Linked DNA regions of Callithrix jacchus. The main gene of each other region encodes a partner of the protein of the gene in region 4 in a complex. Links are inferred from orthologs where the notes say so. Each region holds a gene or a part of one and is shown on either strand. Other genes may lie near its edges. The genes, in order: DRC4, DRC5, DRC1, DRC7, DRC10, DRC3 and DRC8.

Evidence for each region.
Region 1: DRC7 (region 4) and DRC4 share a complex: the UniProt entries of both Homo sapiens proteins name them as parts of the nexin-dynein regulatory complex. The link is inferred for Callithrix jacchus from reciprocal best matches to the Homo sapiens genes DRC7 and DRC4.
Region 2: DRC7 (region 4) and DRC5 share a complex: the UniProt entries of both Homo sapiens proteins name them as parts of the nexin-dynein regulatory complex. The link is inferred for Callithrix jacchus from reciprocal best matches to the Homo sapiens genes DRC7 and DRC5.
Region 3: DRC7 (region 4) and DRC1 share a complex: the UniProt entries of both Homo sapiens proteins name them as parts of the nexin-dynein regulatory complex. The link is inferred for Callithrix jacchus from reciprocal best matches to the Homo sapiens genes DRC7 and DRC1.
Region 5: DRC7 (region 4) and DRC10 share a complex: the UniProt entries of both Homo sapiens proteins name them as parts of the nexin-dynein regulatory complex. The link is inferred for Callithrix jacchus from reciprocal best matches to the Homo sapiens genes DRC7 and DRC10.
Region 6: DRC7 (region 4) and DRC3 share a complex: the UniProt entries of both Homo sapiens proteins name them as parts of the nexin-dynein regulatory complex. The link is inferred for Callithrix jacchus from reciprocal best matches to the Homo sapiens genes DRC7 and DRC3.
Region 7: DRC7 (region 4) and DRC8 share a complex: the UniProt entries of both Homo sapiens proteins name them as parts of the nexin-dynein regulatory complex. The link is inferred for Callithrix jacchus from reciprocal best matches to the Homo sapiens genes DRC7 and DRC8.

Annotation. Positions count from the first base shown.
Region 1 is NC_133521.1:47,664,941-47,668,794, forward strand, and holds part of DRC4 (dynein regulatory complex subunit 4), read left to right. Parts: intron 1-2,416; coding exon 2,417-2,614; intron 2,615-3,854. UniProt on the Homo sapiens protein: Component of the nexin-dynein regulatory complex (N-DRC), a key regulator of ciliary/flagellar motility which maintains the alignment and integrity of the distal axoneme and regulates microtubule sliding in motile axonemes.
Region 2 is NC_133505.1:52,760,299-52,764,689, forward strand, and holds the start of DRC5 (dynein regulatory complex subunit 5), read right to left. Parts: upstream 3,081-4,391; 5' UTR 3,029-3,080; exon of another isoform or gene 2,517-3,028; intron 1-2,516. UniProt on the Homo sapiens protein: Component of the nexin-dynein regulatory complex (N-DRC) a key regulator of ciliary/flagellar motility which maintains the alignment and integrity of the distal axoneme and regulates microtubule sliding in motile axonemes.
Region 3 is NC_133515.1:88,557,632-88,561,485, forward strand, and holds part of DRC1 (dynein regulatory complex protein 1), read right to left. Parts: intron 2,659-3,854; coding exon 2,524-2,658; intron 2,163-2,523; coding exon 1,930-2,162; intron 1-1,929. UniProt on the Homo sapiens protein: Component of the nexin-dynein regulatory complex (N-DRC) a key regulator of ciliary/flagellar motility which maintains the alignment and integrity of the distal axoneme and regulates microtubule sliding in motile axonemes.
Region 4 is NC_133521.1:15,604,597-15,608,450, forward strand, and holds part of DRC7 (dynein regulatory complex subunit 7), read left to right. Parts: intron 1-984; coding exon 985-1,057; intron 1,058-2,158; coding exon 2,159-2,287; intron 2,288-2,477; coding exon 2,478-2,606; intron 2,607-3,854. UniProt on the Homo sapiens protein: Component of the nexin-dynein regulatory complex (N-DRC) a key regulator of ciliary/flagellar motility which maintains the alignment and integrity of the distal axoneme and regulates microtubule sliding in motile axonemes.
Region 5 is NC_133510.1:116,196,940-116,201,389, reverse strand, and holds the start of DRC10 (dynein regulatory complex protein 10), read left to right. Parts: upstream 1-1,410; 5' UTR 1,411-1,451; intron 1,452-1,784; exon of another isoform or gene 1,785-1,808; intron 1,809-4,129; exon of another isoform or gene 4,130-4,268; intron 4,269-4,450. UniProt on the Homo sapiens protein: Component of the nexin-dynein regulatory complex (N-DRC), a key regulator of ciliary/flagellar motility which maintains the alignment and integrity of the distal axoneme and regulates microtubule sliding in motile axonemes.
Region 6 is NC_133506.1:69,176,104-69,179,957, reverse strand, and holds part of DRC3 (dynein regulatory complex subunit 3), read left to right. Parts: intron 1-2,897; 5' UTR 2,898-2,914; coding exon 2,915-3,074; intron 3,075-3,854. UniProt on the Homo sapiens protein: Component of the nexin-dynein regulatory complex (N-DRC) a key regulator of ciliary/flagellar motility which maintains the alignment and integrity of the distal axoneme and regulates microtubule sliding in motile axonemes.
Region 7 is NC_133520.1:41,228,018-41,232,654, reverse strand, and holds the start of DRC8 (dynein regulatory complex protein 8), read left to right. Parts: upstream 1-1,724; 5' UTR 1,725-1,725; coding exon of another isoform or gene 1,726-1,803; coding exon 1,804-1,828; coding exon of another isoform or gene 1,829-1,907; intron 1,908-1,908; coding exon of another isoform or gene 1,909-1,923; exon of another isoform or gene 1,924-2,014; intron 2,015-4,637. UniProt on the Homo sapiens protein: Component of the nexin-dynein regulatory complex (N-DRC), a key regulator of ciliary/flagellar motility which maintains the alignment and integrity of the distal axoneme and regulates microtubule sliding in motile axonemes.

The DNA.
Region 1 (3,854 bases), about 32 Mb from region 4:
TTCCTGTATGAACCTCTCAGGTGGCTGCACCATTTGTCCATCTCACCATGTGGATCTATTCTTCTGTGCAAGCCAGAACCAGCACTCCAGCCTGGTCCATAATTCCCATCAGCTGCAAAGCTTTCACGTGGACTCTGTGTTTTCAAAAAGGCCATAGAGCCCATTATGGAATGTTTTAATAGGGCAGTAGGAATTTGGAAGGACAAGTTTTTCTGATTTAAAAGCTATTTTTGATTTTGAGTATTCTCTTCCAATCGACCCTTTCTTGCAGCTGTTGTGTATAGGCTTATCACAACACACACACACCGCATTCTCCTTTATTTTATTCACAGTTAAACATTATCTCAAAAAGCAAGGTTTTAAAAGAAACTTAAAATGTGAGTTACTTAAAATCACATCTCAGTCTGATTGATCATTCATTGTTTTTGATAAAAGTCCCATCAGGGCTGCCTTTTTCTTGGGTATGCTTATTTTGGGGAGGAGGTGATGTTTCTATAGTTTCTTTGTAGGAGTTATTTCAAGTCCATTCTTCATTTGGATGCAGTTAAGGGCTACAGAACATAATTATGTAATGACAATTTTACCTAAGAGGCTCCCGAAACCTGCAGGCTGTGGCAAGCCCAGTGCAGCCTCTAGCCTCTGCCCTGATGGATGACTGCCTCATGAGCCTCTGACCCAGGACGTGCGTGCTGTGTCAGCTCATGTGTTATTGTTAATCATTGTTACCTTTTTTTGGTAGTATTAAGATAAAAAATAAATATGAAGGAGACTAGAAGAGTCGTATGACCCGAAGTTGGAGCTGGGCAGAGGTCCTTGAAACGTGCTAAAGGACGTGTGTGTTTTACGTTCAGAGAAAGCACGGGCAGTTCAAGCCAGGGGCTGAGCGAAGAGGTGACGGGGCGAGGTTTGTGTTCTGGAAAGGTGTCTGGAGCCGCCGAATGGATTGAACGTTGCCTTGTCCTAGCATGTGAGCTGTTGCCGCCTCCCTGTTTGCTTCCCCTTCCTGTGGAGACAGGCCTTGCATGGCAGTGACTGTGCAGTCCACTGGGCAGGGCCTTGCGCTGCGCATGGCACACGGAGCCACAGACTCAGAAGACTTCTTCAGGATCCAGGCAGAGGGTAGGGCTGGAGGTGACCTGGACACGCCTGGCTGGAGGGGCCTGGGGCTGTGCCCAAAAAATAACTGATTCTTGCTCCCCAGAAAGCTGGAAGCCTGTCCTACATTTTTTTTAACCTATTTTCAGATTTGCAGTTGAACCCTCTTGAGGGTTAGGAGTCTGCTGGTCTTGCGTATTTTTTGCTTAACATTGTATCTTTAAAGATGATTTTTTTTTTCATTTAACATTACATGAATCTGTTTAAATGCTGCTACCTCATTTCTATATTTGTTTTTTGGGTAATATGATATTTCTCCCAGTTGATGTACTGTAAGTTTTCAACCATTGCTGTATTCATTTATTTATGTTTTAGAGACAGGGTCCTGCTCTGTCACCCAGGGTGGAGTGCAGTGGTGTGATCACGGCTCACTGCAGCCTCGAGCTCCCAGGTTCAAGCGATCGTCCTCCCCAAGTGTTCCCAGTAGCTGTGACTGTAGGCGTGTGCCACCACTCCGGGCTCATTTTTATTTTTCTGTTTTGTAGAGACAGGGTTTTGCCATGTTGCCTAGGCTGGTCAACTCCCAGGCTCAAAAGATCCTCCCGCTTTGGCCTCCCAAAATGCTGGGAGCCACCATGCCTGGCTGTTTATTTTTTGAGACGGAATCTCAGTCTGTCACCCAGGCTCGAGTGTAGTGGCTTTATTATGACTAACTGCAGCCTCTACCTTCTGGGCCTAAGTGACTCTCCAACCTCAGCTTTCCCAGTAGCTGAGACTACAGGCACGTGCCATGACGTCTGGCTAATTAAAAAAAATTTTTTTTTGCAGAGATGGGGTCTCGTTATGTTGCCTAAGCTGGCTTAAACTCCTGGGCTCAAGGGATCCTTCCACCTCGGCCTCCCAAAGTGCTGGGATTGCAGGCGAGAGCCAGTACCTCTTGCCCATTCCCTGTTTACATTGGTCTCAGATGGTTTCCTCTTTAATATTTTTGCTCTTGTAATAATGGTGTGGGTAATATCTTTCAGCAACAAGCTCTTATATTTCTTTCGAGAAATTTCTTAGGTATAAATTCTCAGAAATGGATGAAAGGATATAGTTATTTTATGTTTATTGGCCAAATTGAAGAGAATTCTGCCACTTGTTGAATGCATTCTGTCTCTGGAGCTTCCTAGCTTTATATCTTAACTTTTTATGTTCAGCTGTCTAATTTTAGGTGAAAACGGCTCCACCCTCTTCCTTCCTTGCCCTTCTCCGGCCATCTGCCCCTCTGCTATGCATGGGCCCCTGCCCAGTGCTCACCTGACCCACTGCACCTGGCCAGGTGGAGGAGCATTTGGGCCGTATCCGGGAGGAGCTGGACCGTGAGCGGGAGGAGCGCAACTACTTCCAGCTGGAGCGGGACAAGATCCACACCTTCTGGGAGATCACCCGGAGGCAGCTGGAGGAAAAGAAGGCTGAGCTTCGGAACAAGGATCGGGAGATGGAAGAGGCCGAGGAGAGGCACCAGGTGGAGATCAAGGTGAGTGAGGCCAGTCTGCCCGTGCCCACCTGGTCACCACACAGCCACAGAGGAACTGGGCCCAATGAGGGTGAGGCTGGGACACTGTCTGTCCTCGGCTTTGGGAGTCACAGCCCCAACGCTGTTTTTTATAAAAGAGGCTGAGGGAGAGACACTTCATCTCTCCAGTGTCATGAGAGACCCAGCAGGTCCTGAGGTTTAACATGCAGCCTCCACAACATGGAAGGAGCAAGGGCTTTGGGGACAGGCTGGCCTGTTTGCAACTCAGCTCTGCCCCTCAGCACCCTGTGAGCTGGGGATGCACCTCACCTCCCAGCCTTGGTGTCTGACTCTGCCTCAAGTGTGCAGGTTTGCTGAAGTGAACAGGCATGTGTGGCTGTGTGCAGGTGAGGAGTCATGCAAGGGAGCAGGTGGATGCAAGTGAGCAGGTGTGTACAGGTGAGGAGGTGGGTACAGGTGAGCAGATGGTGCAGGCGAGCAGGAGGATGCAAATGGGTGGGTGTGTGCAGGTGGTTAGATGGTGCATGTAAGCAGGTGGATGCAAATGAGTGGGTGTGTGCAGGTGAGGCATGGGCAGGTGAGGAGGTGTAGGCAGGTGAGCAGATGGTTCAGGTGAGCAGGTGTGTGCAGGTGAGGAGGTGTGGGCAGGTGAGGAGGTGTGGGCAGGTGAGGAGGTGTGGACAGGTGAGCAGATGGTGCAGGTGAACAGCTGGATGCAAGTGGGTAGGTGTGTGCAGGTGAGGAGGCATGGGCAGGTGAGCAGATGGCACAGGTAATACAGGTGAGGAGGTGATACAGGTCAGCAGGTGGGGTGGGTATGTGCAGATGAGGTGTGAGCAGGTGGGTGCAGGTAAGCAGGTGGGTGCAAGTGATCAGGTGCATACAGATGTGTACAGGTGGGCAGGTGGGTGCAAGTGACCACGTGTGTACAGATGTGTGTGGGTGAGGAAGCATGAAAGTGAGCAGAGGGTGCAGGTGAGCAAGAGGGTGCAAGTGACCAGGTATGTACAGGTGAGCAGGTGTGGTTAGGTGAGCAGGTGGGTGCAAGTGATCAGGTGTGTACAGGTGAGGTGTGGTGCAGGTGAGCAGGTGTGTATAGGTGAGGAGGTATGGTATAGGTGAGCAGGTGGGTGCAGGTGAGCAGGTATGTATAGGTGAGGAGGTGTGGTGCAGGTGAGCAGGTGTGTACAGATGAGGAGGTATGGTATAGGTGAGCAGGTGGGTGCAGGTGGAGCAGGTG
Region 2 (4,391 bases), on a different chromosome or scaffold from region 4:
AGGTGTGGTGGTGTGCCTGTAATCCCAGCTACTCGGGAGGCTGAGGCAGGAAAATTGCTTGAACCTGGGAGGCAGAGGTTGCAGTGAGCTGAGATTGTGCCACTGCACTCCAACCTGGGCAAGAAAAGCAAAACTCCATCTCGAAAGGAAATAAAGAAAAGAAAGGAAGGAAAGAAGGGAGGGAGGGAGGGGAAAGAAAGGAGGCAAGGGGAACAACCATGGAGAGGAGAGAAGGTGGGGAGTGGGCACAGTAGAAGATAGGAGGCTGAGAGAGTTCTGCCTGCTTCACAGGTTAGCCTTAGTCTGGTCTGGCAGTCACCAGCCTGCAGCTGAGGGTGATAGTAGGTGGCACTATTTTCCCTGGGAGCCTGGAGGGATGGGTGGATACGCAATAGCTGAGGGCTTGGGGCACATAGTCCCCAGGCACCCACAGAGGGCAGTCCTGGAGGTGGATGAAGAGTCACCTTCCTCTCTGGAGCTTTCTTTCCCTGGAAAGCCTGTTGGGTAAGTCAGAGAATCCCAGAGTTTTAAGACTAGGAGCATGTTCAAGACTCCAGTTCTTCTCCAGGGCAGGAATCCTGACAATCCAGAGAGGTCAGGGCTACCAGGAGTAGGTATATATTGTGCCACCATCTGGTGTCCCATCCAAGGGTGTGCTGTGCTCTCAGAGTGGGAAAGTGGGAGAGTGGGACACATGCAGTGGACTTTCACTTCTCTGGGGCCTGCCTCATGAGCCTGTTTGGCTTCACATGGCTGTATCTCTAACCCGGGACCACAGTCCCTAGGGAAAGGCCGGTCCTCATGCTCTGGGCCCCTACTCTGTATCCTCAGGACCAGGGTCCAGGGTCCTGAAATCACATACAGGGAACGACGTCCACATCAGGCCATAACTCAAAGGGTGTGAGGGACTGCTCTCTCCATGCCCAAGCACAGGTAATAGAAAGTGACAAGATGCTCCAGTTCGGCCAGGGTTGTCCTCATTTCTGATGGCTTGAATCTGGTGGACAGGTGTTCTGGGAACCATACCCTTGGCTATATATAGCTATGATTTATTGAGAGCTCTAGGACTTCAATAGCATGTGCATAGCAGGAGGCAGGACAGCAGCTGACTAAGTACTCAGGACTTGTGCTGTCTCAAATCAAATCTCTACTGTGCCCCCACACTATCTGCGCATCCTCAGGCAGGTCCCTGCTTGCCTCAGTTTCTTCATCTATAACATGGGGACAGTACTTAATAGTACCGATTTCATAGGCTTACATAGAGGATTAAGGAGCTAATGTGTGTGAGCCATTTCATATAGTGCTGGGCCCAGAGCCAGCAGTCAAGATGGGTGTTAGAAGTTATAATGAAGGTGCTACATGCCTAACATAATTTTATCAAATTCTTAAATGTATTATTCAGGATTATTATTTAACACTATTGTCCCCATTTCACAAATGAGGAAACTGAAACTTAGAAAGCTTAAGTAACTTACTAAATGTCACTAGCTAGTAAATGGAGAAGCTGAGGTTTTAGTTTGTGTCTGTCTAATGCTCTCTTACTTCCACTAGACAGATGCTGGGGTTGCTTATAAATTGCTCCCAACTCAGTCACTCACAGCACTTTCCAGTGGGTCTCTCATTTTCTCCAGCTCATGAGATCTCTTGTTCACCAGCATGGAGCCCAGGGTTACCCCCTTGGTGCTGACCTGAATAGTCCAGGCTCCCTCGCCCAGTTCACTGCTGGGCACAGGAGTCTTCCGCAAGGCTGGACCATTGCCTGCAAGCTTTGGAGGGCCCAAGGAGCCCAACAGAGTGCTGCAGAGTGGTGCTCTCCCACCCTGGCCCATTCCCTCCACAGGAAGTCTTGGGCCTTCTCCATCCTTCCCCCATCCCCAGATAAATCTAACCACTCTGGGCAGGAGTTCCTTATTCTGCCCTAATGGGAACACGAGGAAGATGCTGTAGGAGAGCGTTCTCACCTTCTTGTGCATCACAGTCCTGGTCCTCAACTGTCCCCTCCTCCCTTCCTCTTATCCAAAAAGTGGAGACACCCAGCCCTCTTTGCGATGACAGCGCCTCTGTGCCTGGGATACCTTCCCAGGAGCTGGCTCTGCACCCACTGCTCTGCCTGCCTTCTCTGCCTTCTCAGTTGCTCCCACCCCAGATCCCCGCAGGAGAGCCCCCTCTGTCCTCAGGGCTTTGGGCTTTTGTCTACACCCGCCTCCATCTCTTTCATGCCCACCATGTCTTACTTTGGGGCAAGTCACTCCCAAGTTGGGAATTCTATTTGTGGAAGGGCAAAAAAGTTTCTCCAACAGAGCTCGGCGAGTGATTGGACTTGGGCTGGGTGAAACCGCCAGCTCACTGGCCACGATCCCTGGGCTGGCCTCCTCCCGGCTGCTGTTCACTGAGGTCTGCTGTCTCAAAAGGGACTCCAGCCTCTCTGTTCCCCACTTCTCCTCCCTACCTTCAGCTCAGACACCCCAGCAGGGAAGCTCAGCTCCAAAGGCCACGGGGTCCCTCCCGCATCCTACCTGGGGTGTAGAGGTGCTGGCTTCTCCTTGGTAACCCAGGGAAACCGGCAGTGCCGTGGGAGGGAGGGAGATGCGGAAGCTTCTGGACCCGCGGGAGGGACTGCAGCCCTCGGGTGCTGGGGACAGGGACCGCCTTTCGGAGAAGTCTGGGGCCCCAGGGCTTAGGGCCGCTCTCCACCACGCCCTACCGATGCCCCACTTTCCACCCCCACTTCCTTCCCACGATCCTTCCCCTGCCTCACTCGGATCCCAAGCCCCGGCGCACACGGTTTGCAGTGACTGTGGTGAGGAGAGGCACGGGGCATCCTCGCGTGGAGAGCGTGGGGTCTCCCGTGGGTATGGACTGGCTGGCTCTTCCCCCAACGGGTAACGGAACCCAGGCAATGGCCGCCTGCAGGCTTCGGGCCGGTGTGACCGAGGACGCTGGAGGGGCTCCGAGGCCCTGCCGGACTGAGTGAACCCCGATAAGGGAGACCAGGGCTGGGTGTCCCCGCTCCCGGAGGTCGTCTCACCCGCTCCGGGAGCCCGGGCGCTGGCCTCACGCAAAGTCCCGCGAGCCAGTGCGGGTCACCGTCGTTGGGGACGCCCCGCGTCGCTAGGGGCGGGCCGGGCGGAGAGGGCGAATGCGCCGCGCCTCGGAGGAGGGGACGCTACTGCTTCCTCAGCTGTCGCTGCGCACCTGGCACGCGCCTCATTCGCGCTCACGGCGCCCAGGCCATGCCTCGGGAAGGTTCAGTGGAAGCGGCCGCTTTGGGGGTCGTGGGACTGTGGCCTTGCGCTATGCCCTGTGCTTCCGTGGGACGTGTCTAGGAACGGGTGGACTTTCTAGGGGGCTGGAGGTAGGAGACCCCGGGCAGGGCTGCTGGCCTGGAGTGCTTGTGCTCTCTTGGTAGCTTTTGTGTGGCAATGGATAGGGAGCTGGGGGTGGGGAGTTGGTCCAGGAAAAGCGTCTGTGGAAGATGAGGGTGGACGGACCTTTCTCCCGGGCAACTGTGGAAGTCAATGGAACTCCCCTGAGGTCTCCTGGTGACCTTAGGCCCTGCGGGAGGGCACCTTCTACCTTTCTCTCAGCTGATGTCTGGCACTAGATGCAGGAAGGCCAACAGGGTGCTCCTTCACACAGCCCATGTCCTGTGCCAAACCCCCTTCCGGCCCTGGTGCGACAGGATGTGGTGGGAGCCCCTGATCTCTTGGAGGGCAAGAGGGACAGACTTCAGAGGGATGGTTAGTAAAAAAAAGAAACTGGCTTTCAGGAAGGGAGAGGCAGCCAATGAGGTGGGGGTTTCAAAGGGTAGCTTTGATTTCAGTTCTGCTGAGGACTATTAGTTGGTTACCCTGGCCGAATACCTTGAAGCTCTGTTAACTCATCAATAAATCAGGGGTGCTACAACTCATCTTGGTGCCGGCAGAGCTTGGAGCTGGGCCTGTGGTGAACACTGCCGAACAGTGGCTACTACTCTAGTGGCCAGGATGCTTTAAAAGCAGTGAGGGGCCAGGCACTGGGATTGGGTCCCTTCAAGCCCTCACCGGTGCCTTACCAGCAAATCATTGGTGCCTTAATTAGAATGAGAAACTGTGCAGAAAATGATGCCAGGCGGGCCCACGCTGCTCAAATAATTTTTACTAGACAGAACTTGGTAGCCAGGGAGCCCTTGATTTGAAGATGGGTCCCCTGAGGCCTTTTCCTGCATCTAGCAACAGAGATCTAGGAACAGAGGCAGAGGTCCAACAGGCAGAGGTCTGGCTGTCTGAGGTGGACTCATTCTGATAGGGAAGGAGGGCTCCCCTCCATCTCTTGGCTTCCTCTTGCTTTGAGCTGCAAATTTTCAGCTTCAGCTCAGGCTTGAGGCAGGTGCTGTACAACTTGTTTTAATC
Region 3 (3,854 bases), on a different chromosome or scaffold from region 4:
ATTGTAAAAAGCAATCCCTAATAATCAAAAGTAAAATGAAAAAAAATACCTATATGTGTATTAAATTGGTGCTATAACCACACAGAAACTATTCCAAGTGACTTTTAAAAAAATTTTTATTATTATTGTTTTTGAGACAGACTCTTACTCTATTGCTCAGGCTGGAGTGCAGTGGGACAATCTTGGCTCACTACAACCTCTGCCTCCCGGGTTCAAGCAATTCCCCTCATCAGCCTCCTGAGTAGCTGGGATTAGAGGCATGTGCCACCATACCTGACTAATTTTGTATTTTTAGTAGAGATGGGGTTTTGCCACGTTGGCCAGGCTGGTTTCAAACTCCTGACCTCAAGTGATGTGCCCACCTCAGCCTCCCAAGGTGCTAGGATTACAGGTATGAGCCACCGTGCCTGGCCCCAAGTGACTTTAAAACATAGCAATCTGTCTGTATACCCCTGGAGGGACACACTTTAAGAACAAAAAGAACCATAGAAAAGTGTGAGCTGTCTTTAGTAATCATTTGTTGGTGTTAGGGCTGATATTTTCAACCGAGACAGCTCTGTGGTGCTGTGAGGAATGCATGTGATTCTTTATTTTGAAGTCATTGAGCACTAAGAATTTCAAGTTGGAAGAAAGTGGATAAACTTTCATACTGTTAAGTAAAAACTCTGGCATACTGTTGATGAGGAGGATTTAGGATGAACTCATGATTTATTTTATTACTAAAAAAAATCCTATACTCAGCTCTGTCCACTGAAAAGTCCTAAAAACAATGGCCAACCCAAAGGAATAAGTACCCAGCACCCAGAGCATGGTTTCAAAATACCGCTCCCTGGGTAGGCATGGTGGTTTCACGCCTGTAATCCCAGCACTCTGGGAAGGAATCGTTTGGCCCAGGTGTTTGAGATCAGCGTGGGCAACATGGCAAATCCCTGCCTCTACAGAAAATACAAGAACTAGCTGGGCATGGTGGCATGAATCTTTGGTCCTAGCTACTCGGGAGGCAGAGGTGGGAGGATCGCTGAAGACTGGGAGGCGGAGGTTGCGGTGAGCTAAGATTCCACCGCTGTACTCCAGCCTGGGTGACAGAGTGAGACCATCTCAAAAAAAAAAAATTCCCTGTTGAAAAGGACCAGGGTTCCCTTGGAGAAATGGCTGACTCCAAGTATAAGGCATGCCTGGAACACCTGGTCATCCCGGAAAGCCAGGATGCTGTTAAAAACTACTAGGGCTGAATCAAAAGGACCCAGAAGCCAGTATGAAGCTTCCACTGGCCGAAGATGAAACAATTTCAGCCTCAATAAGGATAATTACTTTAGTAAACTAAAATACATCAAATCTGTATAAACTCATGCATTCATAATATTTTTTAAAAACTCATTGGTACCTTTGGAAGATGCTAGAGACCCAATCCATTGTTTTGAAAACTGGTAAACAGAAAAAATAAGCATCTATCCTGCTTTTCTTATACAGACTATCTCAGGGTAGCAAGTTGCTAATGAAGGAAAGATTTTCTTTTAAGAAGTATTCTAAATATTAAATAAAGACACAAGAATAGAATTTAAAACATCACCATTCTCCAATCCCTAATAAAGTTAATAGATCTCAGACAATGAATGGCAATGATTGCTAATATCACACAAAGAGAGACAACTTAACATCAGTTTATCCCAGTGGTGGTACTACACAATAGTGTATTTAGCAAAATAAATTGGACCTGCATCTGATCAAGTTTCTAGACCTGACTACCAGTTTCTAATACAGGGGAGAGAAAAAAGCTATAGATTGGAGAAGACTTAAAAGGTACATCATAATCATACTCTCCTACCTCCTAGCTATGGGAGCTCTTCCCCTCCTCCCTAGACTGTCTCTAACATGACGGGGTTGACCCGACGTTCACAGAGGGCGGCTCTATGACAGTGTTCTCGTCACCTGTGCGCAGAAGCATTTCTTCTACTATCTGCGTGGTGGACTTCTGGGGCTGCTGAGAAATAGGCCCCACGTTCTTCAGGAACCAGAAATCAGGTGCTGTCCAGGGGAGCCCCAGGTGATGGGTGTGGATGATCCTGTCTACATCAAAAGCTCTGGCTATTAGGTCCTTCGCCTCCTCCTCATTCATCAGCCAAATCTCCCGAAACTTTTCATCATCGATGAGAGCAAAATGCCTGTGAAGAAGAGTCACGGAGCATGGCCAGCTGACCCCAGGGCCTGGCCGGGGTCCCCTCAACTGGCAGCAGGGCAAGAACATGCAAAAGAGCTGTGCTAATTCCCAGGCTTGGCCCCATCCCTGGGCAGCTGATTCCCACTTACGATAAACTAGAAGCCATCCCAACATACCTCAAGAAAAGGCAGGTGACACACAAGTAAAGGGCCAAGGGAACACAGCACAGAGGGTTAACTAGTGCCTGGTCCGGCTCCAAAATAGCCGACGATTTCAAGTCCAGTGAAATCACAGCCTATATACGAACTCCGCCCCTGCCACCTCGACACTGGCACAAGTGCCATAGGACCAGGTCCTTCAGATACCTCACGGCTTTCTGTAGCTCCTTGAACTGCGTCATGAGACGTTTGTACTCCAAGGTTAGAGACTGGTTCTCCTCCTGGAGCTGCTTTATTTGCTTGGCATATTTTGATCTCAGATTGTTAAGTGTATCCTGCAGGCTGGTTGAAGGAAAAAAACAAAGTTTGTGGCTAGGCACAGCGGCTCATGCCTGGAATCCCAGCACTTTGGGAGATCAAGTCAGGTGGAATGAGAGGTCGGGAGTTCGGGACCTGCCTGGCCAACATGGTGAATCCCCGTCTCTACTAAAAATACAAAAATTAGCTTGGCATGGTGGCGCACACCTGTCCCAGCTTCTCGGCAGGCTGATGCAGGAGAATCGCTTGAACCCAAGAGGCAGAGGTTGCAGTGAACCGAGATTGCACCACTGCACTCCAGCCTGGCAACAGAGTGAGACTCCATCTCAAAAAAGAAAAAGAGGCCTCCCAAAACCTTTGGCCAGCTTGCTTTCCCACTCTTCTGCTGTGTGAGGACACAGCGTTCCTCCCCTCTGAAAGATGCAGCCCTGACTAGAAACTGAACCTGCTAGTCTTGATCTTGGCCTTCCCAGGCTCCCAGATCTGTGAGAAATAAACTTTTGTCTTTGTAAACTGTCCAGGCTCAGGGAGTCTGTTATAGCAGCACAAACGGATATGTCAAATTATGAAATGTTGGGTGATAAGTGATGAGGAAAGGAGCAAGAGACAAAAAGGTAGTGCTCAGAAACTGCAGGGGCTGCTGAAGGGTTTTTCGGGCTGAGGGAAAGCTGTCTGAATCTGAACTAAGAGGGAAGATCCCACTCATCTCAGCCACGTGCATCAAACCCAAGCTCTGCCTCAAGCACCTCCTCCCGCCTCCCGCCCTCCCCATTTTCTTCACCTGCTGTGTGACCTTCTGATTCCTACCTCTTTGCCTTCAGACCAGCCACTCCAGCTACCAGCACTGGCCCCCTGGAGTCTCCTCTTAACTGCCTTTTGCCAATTCCTGTCCCCACCCCCTTGCAATATTTCACTTCTTTGGGAAGGTTTCCCAGGTGCCTCCTTGCTGTATTGATGTGTGCCTTTCCTGGATGTTCCTCTATCTGGTATGGTGCATATATAGGGGGATGTTTTTTCATAAATATCGTCCCCTGACTATTCTTGTTTCTCAGATAATCAGGCTTAAGATGACATACCATTTACTCAGTATCATTTTCTGTGATAAGTCACTATCAAAAGGTCAACTGGTGTTCCTCTATACATTCAATATGTGTCCAAAATGTATTATTATCAACCTACAAGTGGAAGAATTCATAAATAATAATAGGCTATTCGGGGTT
Region 4 (3,854 bases):
TGAGACCCCATCTCTACTAAAAATACAAAAATTAGCTGGGTGTGGTGGGGCATGCCTGTAATCCCAGCTACTCGGGAGGCTGAGGCAGGAGAATTGCTTGAACCTGGGAGAAGGAAGTTGCAGTGAGCTGAGATCAAGCTACTGTATTCCAGCCTGGGCAACAGAACAAGTCTCCATCTCAAATAATAATAATAATAAGAAGAAGAAGAAGAAGAAGCCAGGCATGGTGGCTCACACCTGTAATCCCAATACTTTGGGAGGCCAAAGTGGGTGGATCACAAGGTCAAGAGTTCAAGCCTGGCCAATATGGTGAAATCCTGTTTCTACTAAAAATACAAAAATTAGCCAGGCATGGTGGTGCACACCTGTAGTCCCAGCTAGCCAGGAGGCTGAGGCAAGAGAATCGCTTGAACCCAGGAGGCAGAGGTTTCAGTGAGCCAAGATCATGCCACTGCACTCCAGCCTGGGCAACAGAGCAAGACTCTGTCTCAAAATAATAATAATAATGATGACAATGATGATAATGATGATGTCAGCCAGGCAGAGTCCCAAGGCCTTTACAGACATTATATCATTTAATCCTTCTACAAGGTCCAGTTTACAGTTAAGGAAACTGAGGCTTAAAGCCGTTAAAGGACTTGCTTGGGCCCTTAGTTGATCTTGGAGAGAGGGTGGGGCTTGGGTGCCCTGACTCCAGGAACACCTCTCTAATAAGGAAGGGCCTGCAGCTGGGGCAGGGCAGGCCCAGCAGGCAGGGTGGGGTGCTGCTGTCCTAAGCCAGGCAGGTACAGAAACGGCTCCCTGCCCAGAGCCGGGAGTCCTCTTCTTCCACATCATGGGTGGTGCTTGTGACCTCTAATTCCCCTGGGGAGGCCAATGGATCACCTTGGCTTGGCTCTGTGGGCAGATATAGAGCTTTGACCATAACTTCTGCTTCAAGGCCCTGACCAGCACCACCTTCCCCACCCCCTTCTCTCCCATCAGGACAAGGAGGATGAGGATAAGAGCTTCGACATGCCCCACTCGTGGGTGGAGCAGATTGAGATCTCCCCGGAAGGTATTTGCTATTTGTGTGTTCACTTATCCTCTCCAGACCCAGTTCCTGGGCCTCCAGAGGTCTGTAGCAGCAGTGAGGGGGAGACAGCAGTGAGGCGGGGGACAGGTGTGTGCAGCAGCCAGGGGGAGGGTGCAGCAGTGAGGGAAAGACAGCAGTGAGGAGGGGGGCGGGTGTGTGCAGCATCGGGGGCTATGCAGCAGCAAGGGGGAAACAGCAGTGAGGCGGGGGCTGTACAGCAGCGGGGGGGGGTGCAGCAGTAAGTGGAGGGGGGCACAGCAGGGAATGCCCTACCCCACATTTCTTCTCTTCCCACCTTCAGCTGCACCCTGCCTCCTTCCTCCCTTCCTGCCACACACACTCAGCTCTGTGATCCCGAGGGCCTGAAACCAGTCTGGCACACAGGGCAATGGGGCTCAGTGAGCCTGTGTGGGATGATGGCATGTGGGTGGCAGCAAGGCCTGGGAACCCAGCCCGTTCCCCTCTCACACTCTTTTACCCAGAGGAGGCCATGGGTAGTGCCCAGATGGTGCAGGGGGGTCTCAGGACCGGAGAGGGGTAGGTAGAGAAGGCAGGAGGACAGGGACTGTCATGCTCCATGTTAATATCTGCTGGTGCCCACTTAGGAGCACCCAGACTTATGGGAACAGCCAGAGAGGGTGTCATGGGAACCCAGAGGAGGCACACCCAGTTCAGCACTGGGGCTAGGGCCTGGGGATGGGTGGGCAGAAAGGGGTACGAGAGTAGGCTAGGGGTCACTTGGGCTAAGTTTTGAATGCTCCGAAGGAGTCAGTCCAACCAGGGGAGGAGGGGATGATGGTGTTTCTGGTGGAGACCTGTACAGGCAAAGCCCAGCAGTGGGAGAGTGTGGTTGGCTGCGGTCCAGACCTTCTGATGGGGCTCAGATCCCTTTCTTGGGTGGATCTGTGCTTCTGCATGGCCTGAGAAGGCCGGTAACTATTCTCCTCGGCCTCCCTGGATTCAGCTTGGGGCTGGAGGAGGTCAGTACACATCGAACGGGCAGTGGGTGAATGAGTGGCTGGGTAGGGCTGGCCCCTCCCTCAGTGTGGGAAGGAGAGACCCCAGCTGACTCTGTGTCCAAAGCATTCGAGACCCGCTGCCCAAATGGGAAGAAGGTGATTCAGTACAAGAGGGCAAAGCTGGAGAAGTGGGCCCCGTACCTCAACCGCAACGGCCTTGTGAGCCGCCTCACCACCTACGAGGACCTGGAGTGTAAGGGGGATTGCTCTGGCCCAGGCCAGCCCAGGGTGGGGGGCCAGGCCAGCCCAGGGTGGGGGAAGCTTCTGCTCTCTCTGTGGGCATTGCTGGAGATTCCGTGTGCCTGGAATAAGTGGCGAGGGTGGGGGTGGGGTGAAGGCTAGGGGAGCTGGCCCGCTGCAGCAAGCGCCCATCGGCCCCATAGGTACCAATATCTTGGAGATAAAGGAGTGGTACCAGAACCGGGAGGACATGCTGGAGCTGAAACACATAAACAAGACCACAGACCTGAAGACAGACTACTTCAGGCCCGGCCACTCCCAGGCTCTTCGAGGTGCGTGGGTCCCCTTTCCTGGGCTGGCCCGGAGCCCAGGCTGGGGCCTGACACACCCTTTGGCAGCATACATCTTACACAGGGGTTCTTGGGCAGCAAGCAGTGGAAGCGCCCTGCCTCCCTCAGCAAAATCCAAGGAAACGTGACACATGCGCCTCAAACCAGGGCCACATGCCACTTCCGTGGTTGTAATCCGGCAGGAACCTTGCCATGAGGTCACACAGTGGAGGCCACATCTAAAGGAGGCAAGGCTGGGCACAGGGGCTCACACCTGTAATCCCAGCATGTTGGGAGGCCAATGTGGGCAGATTGGTTCAAGACCAGCCTGGGCTATATGGTGAAACCCCATCTCTACAAATACAAAAATACAAAAATTATCCAAGCATGATGGCACTGCTTATGATCTCAGCTACTCAGGAAAGTGAGGCAGGAGAATCACTTTAAGCCCAGGAAGTCAAAGCTACAGAGAGCCGAGATTATGCCACTGTGCTCCAGCCTGGGTGACACAGCGAGATCCTGTCTCAAGAAAAAAAAAAAATCCTGACCAAGAAATTTACAAAAGAAGCATAGCAGGGCTAGCATACATTTAAAAAATGATCAACCTCGGCCGGGCATGGTGGCTCATGCCTGTAATCCCAGCACTTTGGGAGGCCAAGGCAGGTGGATCACCTGAGGTCAGGAGTTCAAAACCAGCCTGGCCAAGGATCAACCTCATTTGGTAGCTGATGAAAAAAAATAAAACTAATAAGGTCCCTAACCAATAAAGGACCATCTTATAACCCTCTTGTTGACAAAGATGAAACAAAGGTCATACTGGGTATGAACAAGTATGGGAGCAACAGTCACTCTTTGTCACTGTTGATGGTACAGCAAATTGGACATTTTCTGGAGGGCCTTTGGGCAAAATATTGATAATGACCTTAAAACGTGTACACTTTTGACTGGGCATGGTGGCTCACACCTGTAATCCCAGCACTCTGGGAGGCCAAGGTGGGTGGATCACCTGAGGTCAGCAATTTGATACCAGCCTGACCAATATGGTGAAACTCCATCTCTACTAAAAATACAAAAATTAGCTAGGTGTGGTGGCGGGTGCCTGTAGTCCCAGCTACTTGGGAGGCTGAGACAGGAGAATTGCTTGAACTCAGGAGATGGAGATTGCAGTGAGCTGAGATTATGCCACTGCATTCCAGCCTGGGTGACAGAGTGAGACTCTGTCTCAAAAAAAAAAAAAAAAAAAAATGTGTA
Region 5 (4,450 bases), on a different chromosome or scaffold from region 4:
ACAATGCACAGGTGAGACCTCCAGAAACAAAGAATTACGTGGCTCAAAATGTCAACTGAGCTGCTGTTGAAAAATCCTATCTCAGCCTGTATTCCCACTTTACAAATGAGGAAATTGAAGCTTGGAGTGATTAACTTGCCTCTTTTAAGTTTCAATACAGGCAGTCCGAATTCAGGAACTCTCCCTGCTTAACCATTACTCTATATACACCTACGACTAGAACCAGTCCCCCGATTTTTGAATTCAAACACATCATTTTTCCAGGGAGACTAAAATGAGGCCCAGAGAGGGGAAGAGACTTGCCCAAGGTCACACAGTGCAGAAGCAGGGCTAGAACCCGGGACTCCTGAGTCCCGGTCCAGTGTTCCCTTCGCGGGCTTTGCTTCCGGCTCTAGAGAGAACCCAAATGGCCAACCCTGGGGAAAGGGCCCAGGGGAAGAGAGGGCCAGCTGCCATCCCGCTGTCCGCTGGGGCAGCTGACCCGGGCACTAGACTCCTGCGGGGTCACCTGAGGGCGCCAGGGAGAAGGGCGAGGGAGGGAGGAAGGAGGAGGCAGGAGCGCCGGCTCCAGCTCCACGTGCTCCCACACCCTGGCTGGACGCCCACGTGAGGGTCGTCCCAAGAAGTTCGGGGCGAAGAAAGTGGGTGCAAAGCCCCCGCCCGGGCTGGACGGAGAGAAGAGCGCCGAAGCCTTCCCCGCGGCCCCTCCGGGCCCTTCCAGCCCACCTCCCACACCAGAGTGCCGCTCCACAACCCCTTACTCCGAGCCCTCTGACCCCTGGTCCCTGCCCTCTCCCTCGGGCCAAGCCCTCGCATCCCTCGGATTCTTACACGCGCCGCCCCAGCAACCCGAACCATGCGCCGGGGTCCGCACCGCGCAGCCCAGCCCTCCGGCGCCGCCGCCAAAACCCCGAGCCCGAAGCTGTTGCAGCAGCCGCAGCTGCACCTACTTCAGCCACTGCCACCACGGCAGCTGCGCCAGCTCTCCCATCCGCCGCCTACCGTCCTCTCAACCCCGCTGGCTCCGCCCCTTTCCCCTTGACAGCGACCTACTGGCTAACTGGGATACCATGATGAGTTCTGATTGGTCATATCTCACGTCCTTCCGCAGGTCTCGCCCGCTGCCGATGCAGTACTCCCTGCCCGCCTCCTTAAGAAGGGGCGGGACGAATAATCCACGCCCCTTTCTCCTCCCATCTGCCCCGCCTTACTCTTTGAGGGCAACCCAGAGGGAGTCCCCAGTCTTTCCATTGGTGAAAGGTCAAAATGATGGTGCTTCTGATTGGTCAGGCTTCAGGAGGTGGGGACAACTGAGCGGAACAAGGAATTGAGTGGTGAAAAGAAAGGTCAGTCAGACGCCAAGTCCCGCCTTCTGAGATTGGCAAGTAACCTAGCAACGCAGGGACCGCTGCGATAACTGTGGCTAGGGAAACCTGGAGCCTTCAGTGCAGGTGAGTAACCAGGTAGGGAAGGGTCGCGGATCGGGGGAGATGTGGAATGGGCTTCAGCTCGCTGCCCTTTGGCTCCCTGAGGAATCAGTGGCCCTCGCTGCGATCCCGTCTCAGCTTCAGGACCCTGTTCCTCGGCCCCAGCCTAAGTCTAAACCTCTCACTCCACAGCCTGCAGGGAGCCGGCCTCCATTCTGCCCTTTCTTCCAGCCCACTTCAAGGCCCCACTCCCCCATCCCTAAAACGAGGAGGACACCAGTCCAGCAGAGTCACATCGTAGTTAACTTATTTCAAATCAAACAAGTTGGAGGGAAGTTTCTAAGTCCCCTGCCATTCCACCCAACGGCCATACGTTCCTCGGTGAGCATGCATCTCAATTCAGTGTTTAAATCAGGTTTTGTGTTGTTTTTGGCGGAGCGCGGTGGCTCACGCCTGTAATTCCAGCACTTTGTGAGGCTGAGGCGGGCGGATCCCTTGAGGTCAGGAGCTCGAGACCAGCCTGGCCAATATGGTGAAACCCCATCTCTACTGAAAATCCAAAAATTAGCTGGGCGTGGTGGCACACCTGTAATCCTAGTTACACGGGAGGCTGAGGCACGAGAATCGCTTAAACCCGGGAGACCAAGGTTGCAGTGAGCCGAGATCGTGCCATCGCACTCCAGCCTGGGCGACAGAGCGGGACTCCGTCTCATAAATAAATAAATATATAAAGTAATTTTTATTATACCACTTTTACCTTTTGTCCTAACTTTGTAATTTAACTCCCCATTCTGGTCCTTAAGATGTGATCTCAGCCCGGCGTGGTGGCTCACGCCTGTAATCCCAGCACTTTGGGAGGTCCAGGTGGGCGGATCATGAGGTCAGGAGATCGATACCATTCCGGCCAACATGGTGACACCCCGTCTCTACTAAAAATAAGAAAATTAGCTGGGCATGCTGGCAGGCCCCTGTAATCCCAGATACTTAAGGGGCTGAGGCAGGAAAATCACTTGAACTTGGGAGGTGGAGGTTGTGGTGAGCCAAGATCACACCACTAACACTCCAGTCTGGAAGAGAGTGAGACCCTGTCTCAAAAATAAATAAACTAACATATAACCTAGCAATTCCACTCAGGAATGTGTTGAGAAATGCTGACTGTATGATAAATATATTGTTTGCTAAGAAGAATGATGGCAAGGAAAACCTAGCCGTGCCCCCCCCCCAAGTGGAAAACTACTTGGGGCACTCTAAAGTAGCAAGACAGTATTTGTATATCATACACCACTTAAAATAAATCTTTAAGCGCGAGAGAGGTGACCCTGCCCCTGTGGCTCCCTCGTAGAGGATGCTTTCTGGTTTGTCTGTGATCAGTGGTGAGCAGGCACCAGGTGCCTACCTACTTTATTTTTGTTCTATGAGAAAACACAGAACACCTGTTTGTTAATAATAATCACCTATTCAGAGAGAATAACTATGTGAGTCAGAATCTGCTTGAGGCCCTCAGCCTGGAATGCTGTCAGCACCTGAGGTTCTCAGCTCTGAAAGCTGTTGGTCCCAGGATAGTCCCACTTTGCTGTTCTTTCTGGGTGTCTGCTTCTTAATGCCTTTAGCACTGCCTGGGTGGGGGTCTGTATGGCCACGCTGGTCTCTGTAGGAATGTACCCCCACCAAGTGAAAACATATGTTCCCAGAAAGACTCAAATATAAATGTTCTTAGCAACATCACCCTTAGTAGCCCCAAACTGGAAACAAACCAAATGTCATCAACAGGTGAATGGATAAACAACTTGTGTTATTTCCATAGAATGGAATATTATTCAGCAATAAAATACCATTCAGGAACAAAATACTAATTATTGCTGTAACCTGGATGAACCTGAAAACATGTTAAGTTAAGGGTTTTTGGCCCAGTGGCTCACGTCTGTAATCCCAACAATTTGGGAGGCCAAGGCAAGAGGATTGTTTGAGCCTAGGAGTTTGAGATCAGCCTGACAACAAAGTGAGACCCCCTCTTTACAAAAAATACAAATATTAACTGGATGTGGTAGCATGTGCCTGTAGTCTCAACTATTCAGGAGGCTGAGGTGGGCAGATCACCTGAGCCCAGGGAGGTCAAGGCTGCAGTGAACCATGATTGCACCACTGCACTCCAGCCTGGGTGACAGAGTAAGACCCTATCTTTGGAAAAAGCAAAAGTCAAGATTTTTCAACCTTAGCTCTGTTGACATTTTGAGCACAATAATTCTTTGTTGCGGGGGACTATCCTGCCAATTGTAAGATGTTTAGCAATAACACGAACCTCTACCCACAAGATGCCAGTAGTAGCCTCTCTCAGTTGTAATAAGCAAGTGCATTTCCTGATTATTGCCAAAAGTCTTCTGGGGGCAAAGTGGCCCCAGGTTGAAAACCACTGTGCTAAGCAAAAAGTTAGATGCCAACGATTACGTCCTGCATGATCCCATTTCTGTGAACTATCCAGGAAAGTTAAATGTGAGTAGAGGCCAGGGTCCGTGGCTCATGCCTATAATCCCAGTATTTTGGGAGGCCAAGGCAGGTGGATCACTTGAGCCCAGCAATTTGAGACCAGTCTGGGCAACATGGTGAAATCCCGTCTCTTCTAAAAACACAAAAATTAGCAAATCCTGTCTCTCCTAAAAACACAAAAATTAGCCAGGCATGGTGGTACACCCCTGTGATTCCAGCTACTCAGGAGACTGAGGTATGAGAATTCCTTGAACCTCACAGCAGAGGTTACGGTGAGCCTAGATCGCGCCACTGCACGCCAGCGTGGGTGACAGAGTGAGACTGAATCTCAAAAACAGAACAACTACAACAAAAAATGTGAGTGGAAACAGATTGTTTGCAGATTCGCTCATGGGAGTTTGGGGGAGTGAGAGAAATGTTCTAAAACTGGGGTGTAGTGTTGTGGCAACTTTAGATACATTTACAAAAATAGTCATTGACTTTTACACTTACAGGGGGTGAATTTTATGGTAACGTAAATTATACCTCAGTAGAGCTGT
Region 6 (3,854 bases), on a different chromosome or scaffold from region 4:
CAGCCAAAGTGCAACATGTCTGTTCTCTCCCACCTGAAGGGCCTCGCCATGAAGTTATCTCCTCCTTCTTTCCTACTTGTCCTTGAGATCAGCCCTGCCTTCCTTGGCCAGGCCAGGTGCCCCTAATGTATGATTTCATAGTTCCCTACACCTACAAATTATCATGGTTTGTAATTAAATATTTGTATTATTGTTTGATTCATGCCTGAAGCAGGGGTAAAATCCATCTGTTTTATTGACAGCATGTAGCAGTTACTCAGTACACATGTATGGACTAAATACATGATCTCACACAAACGTAGGTGGGAGGAATTATCTGCCTTTTACTATGGGAAAGCCAAGGTTTAGATAGGTGAAGTGAGTTACCAAAAGATGCACAGTCAGGATCCAAATCCTGCCCTGATGTACTTAACAAATAGCATGTGTAATAACAACCCCATATTACCTAGCACAGCAATTGCTGGGCTTGACTGAAAGCAAGCTTGATCTGTCACGGGTACCAGGCCCTGATGAAGTAGGAGGGATAAGTTTTGAAATCAGAATTAAGAGTCACTTCCCAAAGTATAGCACCATTAAAAAAAAGAAGAGGCCAAACACTTTGCAGAAAACATCAGTCAAACATAACATATTAAAATTCCCCCAAAGACAAGCTGATGACAAGTTATGGGAAACCTTAGGGGAATCCATTGCATAAGAGTGGGGAGCTATGAGAAAGGCCAAGGGCTGGAACTGTCTTTGAGGGTGGAATCAGTCACCTCATTGAGGTGGAGCCCATGTAAACAGATTGGAGAGAGTGGGAAGAAAAGGACCAAGGTCTTGGGAGGACAGAAGGCACAGGTGGAGAAGGGGTAGGGGTTGAAGGGTGTGAAGGTTGTGCCTCTCCTAGGAGCAAAAGAGAAGCAAGAGCTCATAGGGACATCCAGTGAGGGACAGTTCAGGACAGAGGATGCGTATTTACAGAAGCTGCATCCAAATGGATGGTCGGGGAGGAAGGAGGAAGGCAGTCTTAGAGGGAAGTCTTTATTTAAGACCAGGTGACAGGATTGTATGGCCCAACCTGGCTTTCAGCGGACACCATCAGCCCTGCACTAGGAGTCTCTCTAGCCAAGTGGAATGAAAAGGAGAGCACAGGGGCTGCCTAGCATTGGGGACCAGCAGGGCAGAAGGACAGGAGGTTCAGGGAGGCCCATATGCTGGGGAGACACGAGGGACAGCAGGGAGGCAAGAATCAGAGGGAGAAAGCAGGGGGAAATGTCCCTCCTGGATGTCTTCACCAAGAGAGTTGGTAAGGATAAGAATGTGGTCCAGCCAGGAACAGCAGCCTCAGGTCAGCCTCGCAGTGTGACTGACCAAGTCTACAGATCCCCCTGTGCTGTGCTGTCTCAGCCAAATCCTTCTGGACTATTAGCGACAGAACCTACTGGAGGCTGGGCATAGTGGCTCACCCATATAATTCCAGCAGTTTGGGAGGCCAAGGTGGGTGGATCACCTGAGGTCAGGAGTTCATGACCAGCCTGGCCAACATGGTGAAACCTCATCTCTACTGAAAATACAAAAAAATTAGCCAGGCATGGTGACGGACACCTGTAATCCCAGCTACTGGGGAGGCTGAGGTAGGAAAATCTTTTGAACCCAGGAGGTGGAGGTTGCAGTGATTCGAGACTGTGCCATTGGACTCCAGCCTGGGTAACAAAAGTGAAACTCTGTCTCAAAAAAAAAAAGAAAAAAGAAAAAAAGAACCTACTGGAGCTAGCTTAAGTAAAAGAGGATTTCATGTGAGAAACAGGAAACTCTCATGAGGCATGGACTTAGGAATATTAGGGACTGGAAAGCCAGCAGGAAGGAGGCAGCCTCTGTCTGTGTCAGTCTGTCTGTCCTGTCTTTTGTTTTCTGGTTCCCAGTTTCCCATCTCTGCTTTTTTCCATGCATCTGCCTCCTCCCGCTCTTCCTCTCTGTTTAATCATGTGCCCAGTCAGCCCACACTCCCTATTCCTCCCCAGCTCAAGCGGCCAGCTCCAATGAGCACTCTCCTTCCACAGCCTCAAATTCACATCTGCCACGGGGAGGACGTGAATGGTCAGCTTGGGTCAGGGGCTCCCTCTGCACCAGGGAAAGCTTATGGTGTGGTAGGGGGCATACACACATAACTGCCTGGAGGGGGTGAGGTGCTCAAGGAAGAGGAGCTGCAGGCTGACCTGCCTGGCTGGGGATACTCAGGGAATACAGTCAGCAGTTGGTTCCCACAAGCCCAAATGAGGATGGGCACACAAAGTCAGAGGCCTGACACAGGGCCACAGTCTTAAGATGAGCCAAGATCACAGGCTAAGGAGACCAGTGTGGACACCAGTCCAGTGGGTCCAGGGACAGTCCCAGCTGTGGCTGTAGGGTCAAGGGATAAAACCCTGCGGACAAGCCCAGTGGGGGACAGGAAGCCCTGGAGTAGCCTTGGTGCAAATGTACAAACCCCGAGGTGCAGCAGGCCCAGGGTCAGAAGTGGGGCATTTTTCAGTATCAGTGGCCACAGCGACACCATAAGGGGAAACCTCAGCCACCTGCCCTCAAACAGAGAAAGAAGCAGGCTGTGGCCGGACACGGTGGCACATGCCTATAATCCCAGCACTTTGGGAGGCCAAGGTGGGCAGATCACCTGAAGTGAGGAGTTCAAGACCAGCCTGACCAACATGGTAAAACCCCGTCTCTACCAAAAATCCAAAAATTAGCCAGGCATGGTGGTACATGCCTGTAATCCCAGCTACTCGGGAGGCTGAGGCAGGAGAATTGCTGAACCCGGGAGGCAGAGGTTGCAGTGAACCAAGATCACACCATTGCACTAAAAAAAAAAAAAAAAAAAAAAAAAAATGAAGCAGACTGTGAAGGAGGAATGTGGTGTTTTTTAGGGAAAACATCGGGGAAAATGAACCGGCTATACGACTCGATGGAGCCAAGGGTGATAGACGATGACATGCTCAAGCTGGCTGTTGGGGAGCAGAGCTCCCAGGAGGAGACCGGGGAGCTTGCCAAGCAGGAGGGCATTCTCTTCAAGGATGTCCTGTCCCTGCAGCTGGACTTTCGGAGTATGTACCCAAGTTTCAGGGGTGGTGGCCAGAGTGGGGCCTCCCGGGCTTTCTCTGCTCTATCTTCAAGCTCCAGGATTCCATGCAAAGTCCATGGTGGAGGTTCCCACATCAGCATTAGGGCCTACCTGGGTTACAAGGCATAGGAGCAGCACAGATGTTTGTAAAGCTTCATTACTTAGTGTCTTCATCATTTCAATATCCACGACACTCCTGATTCTGCGTAAGAATAGAAAACAAGATAAAATTGTCCCACTCCAAATCTAAGTGAGCCACCAAGACTATGCTGTTTCCATCACACAACTCCATGTGGGTGTCCTTGGAGTGGGGGTCCCTGGCAGGCAGAGCCTAGGAAGTCCCATGTAGCCAGGAGCAGAGGGTAGGAAGTGTGGGAGAAGGAGGAAGAGCGGGCACTGAGAAAGCAGCTTCACGGAAGGGGTGACCAAAGACGGGCTGGTGGCAGGAGGGGCACAGGCCATGAGGCAGGGAGGCCCCTCAGGGGTGGGAAGATGTGGTTCAGGACCAGGTGGACCCTTACTGCTTCAATGTCCCATCTGTGAAATGGGATGACTGTCATCCCTGTCCCAAGCATTGGGCGGGGGGACAAGGAGAGACAGCACTTGCACAGTGCCTGGCTCACACAGGAAGGCCAGTAAGCTGCGGCACAGTAAGTCAAGGCAGAGGCAGTACTAGAGTACTGAGAGAGGTGGCCAGGGATCCTGAGACCCCCGCCTTGTATCAGGTGCAGGCAAGGCCACAGCAGACTGACCTTGTCTGATT
Region 7 (4,637 bases), on a different chromosome or scaffold from region 4:
TGAGCAGATTGTACCACTGCACTCCATTCTGGGTGACAGAGTGAGACCCTGTCTCGAAAAACAAAAGACAAACAAAAACAAAAGGTCATCCCGCAGGACAACCAGGAGGGGACAATGTGTGTCTGTGGGAGGGTGAATGTTGGCAGGAGAAAGAGCAGGGAAAGGCATTCAAGAAAAAGGAAACTGTGACCAGCACAGGAAAAAGCATAGTGAATAGTAAGCCTGAGACCAACCTCAGGGTTTCCTACACTTCTTTCCAAGCCCTTCATTATGCATATGGAGAGAGGGAGTCTTTAAACACAAATATTTAGATCATATCAACTATGAGATTTAGATAAAGGAATGCTAATAATTACTTTTCATTATTTTTGGTGTGTTAAACATTTTTTGTACAAGACTGTATTCAACCATCTTCTAACAAAAGCCATTTTGTAATGATTCAGTTGTTTATATTCAATTTCTAACACGAGCCATTTTGCAATGATTCAGTTGTTTATATTCAGTTTCAACTCAATTCAATATTGAATTCATATTCTGTTCAAGTTATTCAATTTCAATTTGGTGCTGATCCAATGGGTATCTTCTACAGAAAAAGTACGTTAACAAAGAAAAATATAGTCAGTTTTAGGATTTGAGAGATTATAGAACCAGAATACAAGCATTCAAATTGTTCAGTCATTAAATACGAGTACCTTGTATTTTGAAGGCCTCTTTAAAGGTACAGTTAATAGTTTATAAATTGCTTTTACATAACATATGCACTGAAATACCCTTTAAGATTAGTTTTGAAAACAGGTATTCATTCGAACCACATCATTCGGTATTTTCTTCAAAGCTCTTTATAAAAGAAAAACGTTCTAGTAAACTTATCCTGAAAATAAGACAAAAATTTAACCTCATGCTATAGCTGCAAAGTTTCCTGAAAGCAGAATTTAAAACTTCCATTATAAGTTTAACCAGCGGTCCTGTTCAATTTCACCTGAGAACGTTTTACCGCATGTAATACTGAGCATAACACGGGCACGTTTTTGTTGCTATGAGAACCTTCTATTTTGATTAGAAATTGCAGCCTTGACGACGCAATGTTTGCGCCTATTTTGCGCATGTTTTTCTACAGCTATTTCTCTCCTCTAGTAATAGCAATCGAATGGCTCTGGCTTCCTCTTCCTCGGCCCAGTTTTTCCGTTTGAGCTTCAGCCGTCCTAGGCTGCGCTGTGGCTTTCTCCGGGAAAGGGCGGTGAGGACTGGCCGGGGGAAACCGGGAGGCAGGAGCGGCGTTTCTGCAGCAGCCGGGCCGCGGGCTGGTTCTGTCCCCGCCGTGGGAGCCCAGCTCTTCACCTACTCTCTGGCTGCTTTTCAAAATCTGCAGTTAACAACAGAAACCGAGCCACGCCACGTCGCACCAACAGGACCGGAGGGGGAGAGGGGTGTGTGTGCGCGCGCGTGCGGCCCCCAAAAGGATGAGAAATAAGGGACAGGAGGGGCTGGGGGCCGTGTGACTCAGGGACACTGCTAGGCCTCGGGTCCGCAGGGACAAGGCTGGGGGCCGGGTGGCGCGACGCGCGGGTGCCGCTGGCAGACGGCGCTTCTGGTCTTCCCGCTGCGCGAGGGTCGCGGCGGGAAGCCGGGACCGGGCGCGCGCTCCGAGCCTCCTCCCCGCCCCGGGCGCCCCGCCCCAGGGTCTTCCTCCCCCGCGATTCGGGGCGGCCCCTCCTCCCGGCCAGGTTGGCCGCGGGGCGCTAAGCCGGCCGGGACCCCGCGGCTGAGGTTGTCGTTAGGCATCTCCCAGGCGACCGTAGCAAGATGGCGGACGAGACGGACAGGGAAGGTAAGGCCGGGGAGCCGGGGAGCCGTTGCCCTCACCGCCCGCCGCGACCCCGGGCTGCTGGGCGCAGCGCCGGGTGGGGGTGGGCCCTCGTCCATCTGGAGTCCCCACCCGCAGGGACCGGGTGGCCTGAGGAGGGGCCCACCCAGCAGGGGCAGCCGCGCGGCCCCGTCTCCGCCGCTCCGCCCCGCCTCCTCCCTCCCCAGTCCCCCTTCTCTCCCCTCCCCCCTCCCCCCCTCTTCCCTCCTCCCTCCTCCCCCCTCCCTCCTCCTCCCGCCGCGTCCTTCTTCCCCTCCCTCGGAGGCCGGGCCTGGGCTCCGGCGCGGGCTGCAGCGGAGGCGCCGCCACGGGGCTGCTGATAATGGTGTCGTTGTTCAGTGCCGCGGGGAAGCAGCAGCCGCCTCCGCACCCTCCTGGGCTCTCGGTGCCGCAGGCGCCACGCCCTTAGCTGTCCAGGCTGTGGGCCCCGGGGGCGGCCGGGTGAGGACGCGTTCTGGCCGCCAGAATTTGGCGCGATCCTGTTGGCGCCGAAAACCCGCCCTGGCGCAGCCTGATGGCGTTCGCCGCCACCATTTTGCCTTCTTAATGAGGACGCGGGAGGACGGTCTGGAGGTCACAGCCGCTGCCTCCGAGCTTCTCCTGCCTCGGAAATGCCTGCCTTGCGGCCGGCCGGCGCCGAGCAACCGGCCTGGACTCTTAAAAAAAAAAAAAAAAACACACACAACAAAGACATACACCCAAACGGCAATGTTAATAAAGACGAAACACCAAAACCCCGCCGAGACCGCGGAGCCGCTGTACGCCGGGGGCGGGGGGGCCTCTCCCGCGGTCCCCGGGGACCCCCGGCCCCGCGCGGTGGCCGCCTGCAGAGGCGCTGTGCGCTTCGAGGCGTAAGGTCGCCAGATCAAGAGGCGTCAATGTGTTGCCTGCGCCGAGACGCCAAAAAGGGATGACGTTTCTTGGCCAGACCGTTCATGTTGTTTTCAATTCGTGGTATAATTTATGATGTGATCAAAACCCGATCCTCGGTTACCAAGACCTTAGGTTCTCAAGAATAATTGCGTTTGGTAGTTGGCAAAGTCACCAAGACAAAACAATGTCCCAAAACCCGTGAAACTGAACAACTACGAAGTGAAAATACATTCCCCCTTTGCTTGCCTTCTCGCATCCTCACAACGCCCTCTCGTGCCGTTTTTCTCCGCATGGAACCGAGTGTGGTCAGGTTCACAGCTAATAAACGAGCCCTGAGCTATTTAGTCACTTGTTAAGGTGATCACAGAAAATAGGCGGCGACATGAAACTGCCAGCGTCTGCCTATTGATAGCAAGAATCCTGTGATTTTATATGATATGAATCTGAGAAGCCGGGATTATTTTATAGGTATTACCGTGATGAAGATGCCCTTACATACACAGAAAAGGTTACTTTTAAGATTTCCCCAGAAAAATGAATAAATTATTTTTGTTCCTTATTAAAAAAAAAAAAAAAAAGGAAAACCATTAAGAGAGAGACTAGAAAAGTAATTATGGATATTTGTTTTCTTTTTTTTGACTTTTGGGGCCAAGTAGCCAGATACTTGTTTTCTTAAAAAACACTTGGTTAGGTCAGCATGAGACACAAACAGGAATATGGTACTAATACAGTATTTATCGTTTTTAAAAAATAGATTGAGAGCTTTCCTGGTTTTTCAACTTTTGAACAATATTTTTCTATTTAAGAAAAATTCAGAGATGCAATTCTGTCAACTCACAGAAGAAGTAATGACTATTAAAAGCTGGATGCCATTCATTCAGAATCCGTATATTTAATAACTTCATGTAGATAAGGCATTCTGCTTAGAACTCTGAAAGATACAAAAATGAAAAAGACATTGTCTTAGCTCCCAAGAAAGCTGAGCTCAGTAAGGGAGCTGAGATGCATACGAATGGGAGGGAATAGTTAACTGCGCTGCGTGGACTCCGTGCCAGCCACTGTGTTAGGTGTGTGTCTTTGTAGTCTGCGGACAGCAGCCTGGGCATTACTGGCTGCCCCCCACCAGTGAATCAGAGTCTTCATTTTAACGTATCTGTAGGTGATTTGTATGTACATTAAAGTTTGGGAAGTACTCATATGGCATATCTCATTTATGGTTTACAGTTTTATGAATTAACTAATTGCAGTTTGAAGGGTATGATGAACTAAAGGCATTTTGTCAGAGGATAAAATAAGTAAAGACTCACTTTGTTGATAAGACTTTTTATGGAAATAGTCCATTACTATATTTGATTTTCAGCTACTCTATTTTGAATTTTCATAAATTACATCTAGCCAATTAATCCGAATTAAGTTTTGAGGATTCACTCAGCTAAACTCATAAAAGACTGATGTGCAAACCTGAATGATTTATTAGTTTAAATAGTGGTATATACATTGACCTGAAGGCTGATTTTGGTAATGTAACATACTGTTTTATGGGTACTAAGCTTTGGGTAGTGTGAATTTATATTTCAGAAGTCATTTGATGACCATGGAATCACACAAAAGAGAGGATAATTTTGAAGGATATGTTCATTACCCTGTAAGTTCCAAAAGGTCAGCGACCATTTCTGATCTGTTAATGTTGAATATTGTGCAGAGTGCTTGGCACATGGTAGGTAATCAATACATATTTGTTGAATTCAGAACATTTGAATTAATCAAAGACAGCTTTTTTTTTTTTTTTTTGAGACGGAGTTTCGCTCTTGTTACCTAGGCCGGAGTGCAATGGCGCGATCTCGGCTCACCACAACCTCCGCCTCCTGGGTTCAGGCAATTCTCCTGCCTCAGCCTCCTG